2 linked regions of the Coturnix japonica genome follow. The protein of the gene in region 2 purifies or fractionates together with the protein of the main gene of each other region. This does not show direct contact. Links are inferred from orthologs where the notes say so. Each region holds a gene or a part of one and is shown on either strand. Other genes may lie near its edges.

Evidence for each region. The genes of interacting proteins can lie anywhere in the genome.
Region 1: the proteins of OSBPL8 (region 2) and GLG1 purify together in Homo sapiens (co-immunoprecipitation; 3 studies listed by BioGRID and IntAct, with this or other methods). This does not show direct contact. The link is inferred for Coturnix japonica from reciprocal best matches to the Homo sapiens genes OSBPL8 and GLG1.

Annotation. Positions count from the first base shown.
Region 1 is NC_029526.1:834,252-837,957, reverse strand, and holds part of GLG1 (Golgi apparatus protein 1), read right to left. Parts: intron 3,627-3,706; coding exon 3,540-3,626; intron 2,728-3,539; coding exon 2,665-2,727; intron 2,031-2,664; coding exon 1,917-2,030; intron 1,544-1,916; coding exon 1,455-1,543; intron 677-1,454; coding exon 559-676; intron 1-558. UniProt on the Homo sapiens protein: Binds fibroblast growth factor and E-selectin (cell-adhesion lectin on endothelial cells mediating the binding of neutrophils).
Region 2 is NC_029516.1:34,572,310-34,576,730, reverse strand, and holds the start of OSBPL8 (oxysterol-binding protein-related protein 8), read left to right. Parts: upstream 1-1,438; 5' UTR 1,439-1,564; intron 1,565-4,421. UniProt on the Homo sapiens protein: Lipid transporter involved in lipid countertransport between the endoplasmic reticulum and the plasma membrane: specifically exchanges phosphatidylserine with phosphatidylinositol 4-phosphate (PI4P), delivering phosphatidylserine to the plasma membrane in exchange for PI4P, which is degraded by the SAC1/SACM1L phosphatase in the endoplasmic reticulum.

The sequences.
Region 1 (3,706 bases), on a different chromosome or scaffold from region 2:
GAGGACCACTCTGCATCCATACATCTGCTGGGTGACCTAAAGGATGCAAATGGAGCTTCCTGCTTTTAGCAATGCCTGATCAAAGAGCTTGTTGCTGTCAGTACTGCAGCAGAAAGTTCAGAGGTGGCTTTGCATGCTACCCCTCATTATACACACAGCAGCTTAGAGCAGCTGGATTCAAGACAGCTCATCTGTTCTCCTCCCCTCAGTCTGTAAAATGAAGCTCATACTCGCTTCAAGAGGACTTGTAAGGATGCAGGCACATGCAGCATGCTGCTGTTGAACATTCAACATCATCACTTCACACTGTAATTCCAGTGACCACTTAGTTTTCCCAGCCTTCACCAGCCTACAAGAGAAGGCACTGAGGCGGACAGTCGTTACTTTTCACTGCCAAGGCCAATTGAGCTCGGTGTTGTAGGAACAGAGGAAACAATAAATGAGATACACCGTACAAACGAGCTTCATTTTTAACTCCTCCAGGGTGGACAAACCAGGAAGCTGGGACTGAAAGACCTTCCTAGAAAAGCAAGCAGAGCATGAGTTTCACGTGTTTACCATTTCTAGCTCCTCCACACGCAGCTGCTTGCGGCACTTCAGAGATACCCTGTGCTCCTTGGCGTCCTGCAGAGTGTCATTGCGCACCGTTGTGCTCAGACAGATCACAACATCCACCCTGCAGAAAAGAAGAAAGGTTTTTAACCCACGTATACTTCACTTTGCTCAGCCACAACTGAGAAATGAACCCCAAGGATCTACATATCTACGTGTCTATTGGGACACCTCTGTGTGGAGTAATGGGATCACAATTAAAGCCCCTAAATCTGATGATATCTAATGGCAGACTAAACCAACAGATACAGTAATATACTGAACATCCCAACAAAGCTCCTGGCCAGCAAGACCTGTGCTCTTCAAGCCACTGAGCATCTCAGAAAAGCCAAACTACAACCATTAACCTCAGAAATACACAAAGGTAGATATATCTACCTATATGATGATCAGAGGGCTGGAGCACCTCTATTATGAGGAAAGGTTGAGGGAACTGGGCTTGTTTACCTTGGAGAAGAGAAGGCTGCAGGGAGACCTCATTGTGGGCATCCAGTACTTGAAGGGAGTGAATAAACAGGAGGGAGAACGGCTGTTTGTGAGGGTGGGCAGTGATAGGACAAGGGGGAATGGACTTAAACTGAGCCAGGGGAGGTTTAGGTTGGGTATTAGGAGGAAGTTTTTCACCCAGAGGGTGGTGACGCACTGGAACAGGCTGCCCAAGGAGGCTGTGGATGCCCCATCCCTGCAGGCATTCAAGGCCAGGCTGGATGTGGCTCTGGGCAGCCTGGGCTGCTGGTTGATGACCCTGCACACAGCTTTCTGTCCTGCCCTGTAAAACCTTTGCACGCAACTTTCTGCCACATCCACACAGTTAAGCTGCTGCCTGCTGCGGCACAACATACTTTTTTTTGATGTTGGGGCAAAGTTTCAGCACATCCTCCTTGCAGGCCATTTTGAACTTGTAGGAGAACCTGAAGTCTTTCATTTGAACCTGCAAGAAACGAAAAGAACTGAGAGATGTTGGTCACCTGGAGAACAGTCGTGAAAGAACACTCAAGTGAAGCAATTAGCAAACTCTTCTGGCCAAAACTTATTCTCATGGATGTCACAGGGATGCTGCCCCACTGAAGAAACAAGGACCTCGCCCCACACCACATGCCAGGGGGAGGAGGTTTGGAGAAGAAACCATTCCAGAAGTGACCACCAATGCCCAGGCACACAAGCACAACCATCTGAATTCACAAAGGCAAACCTCAGTATTGTTGGAAAGCAATATTAAAAAAGGAAAGGGTTTCCTAATTAGCTCATTCCTGCCAACACCCTCAAATGCAACCAGTTTCCACCGATAGAAAAGCGCTGCTTACCAGCTGGAAGTGAGTAACTCCGATTGCACATTTTTCATTCATTTCCTTCTGGTGTTTGTTCTGTATCAAACACTCCATCAGGTCCCCGGAATCAATCTGGTTATCTGCAACCTCCTGCAGGACAGACAAAAGGCTTAGAAATGAGCTACCCTTACAAGATGGGGTTTTCATGCTCTTTTAGCCCAGTGCACCCACAAGTAACTGAGAACAAGGGGGTTTACACATCTCTTTTGTGAGCACATACTCCCCATACACTGACCATGTGAGTGTTAAGAGAGACAGCTCAGAGAAGAATCATCCCAGATGTATACACACTCTAAATTCAGAGCATAATGCAGAGCTGCAACGCTCACTTGAGTTACTAAGTCAGGTACTCTCACTGCTTGTTAATTACTCAGTCCTAGAGCAATGTAGGAAGCTATTTCAGCATGGTGAGCAGAGGAATGGCTCAGCTCACTGCTTGAGGCAGGAGGGAAGAATAAAGTTTAATTTCCGATCAATTGTGAAAAGTAACTCCCAATTACACGCCAATATTAATCTTCAAACTCCAGCTTCAGTGCTACACCAAAAGCACTACACGGAGCTACAAAGCCTTGTTGGAGGGTTGATGTTTTTTTTCCCCACTGAGCACTTTTGCTACTGCTTATTTCTGCTTTTTCCTTTGAAACGCAGAAAGCACGGCAAGAATATTAAGATCTAACCTTTCCCACAGAGCTCCTTCCCAAGGATGCTGGTACTGAGTACTCACGTGGCAGAAGGTCTGGATAATGGGCTCACACGCTCTCATCAGCAAAGCTTCGATTTGAATGTCCTGCAGAAAACACACCACGTTTCACTTTCACATCATTTGTTCAGACACAATCCAGACAGCCTCACCCTTTGGTTATGGGAATGCCTATGGTCCCAACCATGCAGTAAATGCAAGACAAGCCTTCCAGCTTAAGAGAACATCCTGGTTTCCACAGGTAACAACTCACTGCTTGGATAATCCAGCCAGTTTCCTCCAAATTGGAAACTCCAGCATTAGAAAGCATCCTACACTTAGGCAGGAATTAAAGACTAATGATAGTTGTGAGCAAACCATTTTGTAACCATTGGAAGGAAGCATACCCTAGGGCTTAACTTTGACTAAGAGGTACAGGAAAAAGTTTGGGACAAGATATTCAAACATGCAGCTTCATGAAATAAGCAGAGCTGCTGGCATCAACAGAAAACTGGATGTCCTCTGTGGCAGTTATTGCTTGCAAACTATGTGGGGCCCAGAGGGAAGCTGCAATGTGGTACTCAAAATTACTTGCAAGAAGAACAAAAAAACAAAGTCTCTGAATATATTTTGACTTGTACTAAAGGTGAGCTACCTATACAAAGCTTCTTTACCATAAGCCCTTTTGGGCTGCTAATGGTATTTCTCCTGCTTGCAACCCTTACCTCTTGCTCAGTTCTGTTCCTCAAGGGCTCCCCGTGGAAGGCAACAACATACGGGGTTAAAAGGAGAGCAGTGTTTTTCTATGCTTAACCCCAGACGTGTGTTTCTGCAGCCACCCTTTTATTTTTCAAGTACTGTCAAAATGGCACATTTAACCCCATTGCTCTTCCCTTCATCCCAGGCTGGGAACTGCTCACCTCAGACTCCAGCTCTGTCAGGTTCCCCACTATGTCTCTGCAATCAGACACCAAGTCATCAAGATGGTCCTGAAGACATTCCAGTTCCTATCAAAATTGATATTTCAACATAAGGTCTCAGTACCCAAGATCACAATCCAGGCCTGAGATAGTGCGACACACAGGAA
Region 2 (4,421 bases):
ACCATGTGATCAGAGAACTGGGCTTCTCCATAAAGGATTGTTGTTTTGGCATGCTGTCAGCCTCCCCTCCTAGTGCAGATTGAAATACAAGACGTGTAATGCTAAGAAGGCACTCTAAGAGATGAGTAAGAGGAGTTTACTGGTGACCTCCAGGAGAGGCAAAGAGTGCAGCATGGATTCAGCTGGTATGCTTGCTACACATAGCAGTTCCTAGCTGCCATGACTGCCCGGTGTCATGTTCCTCACACATCCGACACCGTGACTTGCCCATGGTTGTTCTGTGAGATTTCAGGCACTTTGTTGTTGTTTTGTTTGTTTGTTTTTTCTCTTTGGCATTTTGTACCTAACAGCTGAGGGGAAAAGCAACCTTCTGCAGCTGGAGATATTGCTACAGATGTACCTGAAAGAAAAAGAAGAGCTGCTGGAAGGATACTCAGCCTTTTAATTAACTCTGCCTATTTGAGGAGCAGAATGAAAAGACCGTGAGTGGAACATGGGCCGGAGATAATGGGCTCCTGGAGACACTGACACGTAATAACACTGAAAAATACATGGAGCTGAAGTTGTACTTTCCGGGCTGGAGGCATTCATCCTTTGGCAGTTTCTGTGCCACTGGTCAGCTGGGCAGCACTGGAGGCACCACATGTCTTCTGTCTGTACTGACAGCCATCCCTCTTGACATAAGTGGAAAGAGGATGCTCAGCATTTCCAAAGTTGCTCAGCAGTTTGCAGCCGCTCCCAGTTATAGCAACTGGCAGGCGATGAAAACCTGGGGTGTGCATTTGTTTTATTTTAAACATGACAACGTGATCTATGCGCTGTGGGTTTATATTACCAACACATACATGGCTAAAACTGCTACAAGAGGACACTGAACTCAGGAAATTCCACATGAAGAACTCCCTCACCGTGAAGGTGATGGAGCAGTGGAACAGGCTGCCCAGACAGACTGTGGAGAATCCTGCTATCACAGAATGACCCGGGTTGGAAGGGACCTCAAGGATCATGTAGTTCCAACCCCCCTGCCTGGCAGGGCCACCAAACATACACCTTTACTAGATCAGGTTGCCCAGGGCCCCGTCCAACCTGGTCTTGAACACCTCCAAGGACGGGGCATCCACAACCTCCCTGGGCAGCCTGTTCCAGGGCCTAACCACTCTCCTAGTACGGAGAGCCTAGTACGGGCTATGGGAGGCCTCGCCATGCGACTGCAGGGGATCCACTTGAGCAAGGACTCGATTATCTCCAGAGCTCCCTTCCAACCCCCGCTGCCCCAAAACGCTCCATCCTCTCCCCGTTAGCGGCCATTTCCCTCCCGTCCCCATGGTGACGAGCAGCTCCCACCCCCGCCCCGAGCCACCACCGACACCCTCATGACAAGGCGGCGCCTGCGCTCTCGCCATGGCGGCGGCTGCGGATGAGCGGATCAAGCGGCGACAGGGCGGGGCTGCAGCGGAGCGAGAGGGGCGGGGACGGCGCGGGGGCGGGGAGGGGTCCCGGTGCCTCTCCCGCTCCCGGCTGGGCCGAGCTGTGTCTCCCGTCCGGACCCGGCTCTGGGGACAAGGTGAGGCAGCGCTCCGCCGGGGCTGCGCGGCGGAGGGGCCGTCGGCGGGCGGTGGGGCCGCCTGCGTGGCACCGCGGTGCCGCCCGATCGGCCGGGGGTGGCGGCTGCCGCCGGGCTGCGGGTCCCGCAGGGTGCCCCACCACAGGGTGCCCCACAGGGTGCACCTGGAAGTTTTCCTAACTTCAGTCATTTAATCCGAAGTACGGGCAATACGGATCTATTGATCGCCGGTACGCAGTTGGGTCGCTGCTGGTGCTCGTTCGGTGTTTACCTGACGGTGGAAATTGTGGTAAGAGCCGTGGGTGCTGAATTGAAGCTCACGGCCGATGTCAGAGGTGGGACTGGGCACAGAGCGCAGCTCCGGACACATCTGCCTTACAGAGCGCCTGGTGCTGCTGACACCTGGTACCTCCATTCTGCTCCATTTCAGAGTTCCCTGCCAGCTGCTGAGGCTGTTTGCTGCTTGGGTATCGTGTTGGTTTTGCATCACAGCTCCTGAGCTTTGAAGCAGTTTGCTTTGTGAGCAAACAACTTTCTTAGAGCTCCTTTCTGAGCGCTAACTTAACGCAGTCTGTTTCAAAACTGAAGCACAGAGCTGCTCAGTTGTGGGCGCTGGTTTAACTGTTGGTGGGGAGTTGTGTGGGTGCTGTAAGTATAGTGAGCTGCTGAAAGAGGTGTAACTTAGAATACAACAAGCGATATATGTTTATCTTTTCCTCTGGTTAAGGGAAAGGGCCCTGTTTAAACACGCTTTCCTGTCAAATTACTGTACAATGAACTCAGAAAGTGACCGTGCAGCTCTCGTGTCTATGCACAGCACTGAACTTCTGCGTGTACTTTGTGTTCTGTGCTTGAATTGTCATCAATGTTTGTTTGAACTTGTTAACTTTTACTGTGTAAGGAACAATTTACTGAGGCTGAGGGAAAAACTATTGGGCTTGTGTACTTCTTACTGGGAAGTGAACCGGGGGGAAAGGCAGGCTGATATGCTTGTTGTTTTTCATTGTATCTTACCGTATTACCTCAGGGGTTTACTCCTAATGGAGCCGAAGTGCTGGAATTAGTAGAAAATTGAAGTTTTAGGATTGCTGTGTTTTGGAGGCGATAAATATTGTGTTGAACTGATGGATAAAAGCATGAAGGAATGCAGTACATGTAAGCATCCAGCTTTTTATTTTGCCTGTTATCATTCTTTGAAGGAAATGCTCATGCTGCCACCCAGTACAAGAACCGATGCATGCTTGTGCCCTATGGAGCTGTGCTCCAGCTCCCTCTGCCTCTGGTAAATCTTTGTGTGGAGCACTTTGCCAACATTTAATCAACTGTGCTGCTGGTTTGGCTCTCTTCCCCGGTGGCTGTCCCACCACCTGCCTCCCTATTGCGTTACACACAACTGTTCTCTGACACCTCTTGTGTAACTTTCAGAGGGGGTTTCTCCCTCGTCCCCCATGTGCTATGAAATCTCTGTCATGTCAGGCTATCTGCCAAATCATTTCTCATGTTAGTCTCGTGGGCTTTTGTTTTGGAACAGAAAATAAACTTGATATGGGGAACACATGACATCATATAGTTAACTATTCCAAATGGGCCCCCTTCCTTTATTCTATGCTCATGCTGATATTGAATTAGTAAAACTTCTCTATTTTGTTAGGCTGCCTTTCTAGTTAACTTTTATTACAAGGCATGTAGAGATAGTTACAGTCAATAGTAGTAATAGTTAACAACACATAGTTGTTTGTTGTGTGTGTCAGCAGTCTGTCTTTTAGAGTCCGAGGGATAAGGAAGATTTTTCCTGAAGGCTTTGTTTCCTTTCAGAGGGCTGCGTCTGGATTTGCTCGAGTGATTTCTTTTGCTGTTGTGTTGTGGATAAAGTTGATAACCTCTCTGTTTACTGCCAGTAGGTTTATTTCCTTCCTTCCCTCTGCTGCTACAGCTCTTCCACTAATACAGAGTGAAGGGTTTACAGCTGGAGCCACTTGAAGGGCCTCTTGCTTTCCTTGAAAAGGTATGAGCAGATATTGAGGCTAGTGTGGCTTTTACAGGTTTTTCAGATGTCAGAAGGTCTAATTGCAATCAGACAGTACAAGAAAGGTTATTTCCTATGAAAAATTAGTATTTGTTTTCACAATCTTTGGAATTAAAGGGAAAAGATGTCGTTACTTCATACACTTGCTTTGGAGCCCTGACTTAAACAATCTGCATCATTTCAGAGATGTTTTCTATAATTCAATTTCTGGTCAAGGAAATGGATTCTCTACCTAAAAAGTCAATTTAAACTCTGTAGAAGCAGCTGCTTGTGGCTTTATCTAAAAGAAGCACTTGGCCAGCTCATGGTAATAGCAAGTTGCATATATTTCCAGTAGTTTGTCTCTGTTAATTCATTATATGGTCATTTCATACTGTAGACTTGAAGGTGTTTCAGGGACTGACCTTCACCTCTAAGAGGAAGGTATATGTGCAGCACTGAACCTTATAAACTGAGGGATGTTTAGGAAACAGTTCTTGCAATAGGGTGCTGATTAACAGCAGATACATTAGTCAGATGTGTTCTGCTTAGAGTAGCTTGTTCTGGATTGTACACAGTTTGAATTCTGCAGTATTTTGCTGTGTTTGTTATAAAACAATCTTTTATTCCATCTGTACTCTACAACAGGGAAATCTGTTGCAGATGTAACGTATATGGTAGCATAAAAAAAAGCCTAGAGAACTAGAAGTGTTTGACAGATGGTAAGTGGCATTTGGAAAGTGAGATTTTCATTCTGAGGAAGTAACGTGGACTTCTGGTACAGGATGAAGAAATAAGCCTCATTTTCTTCACACTGTTAGTGGTAGATGTGAGCTTTATCTTGGTTTGCCT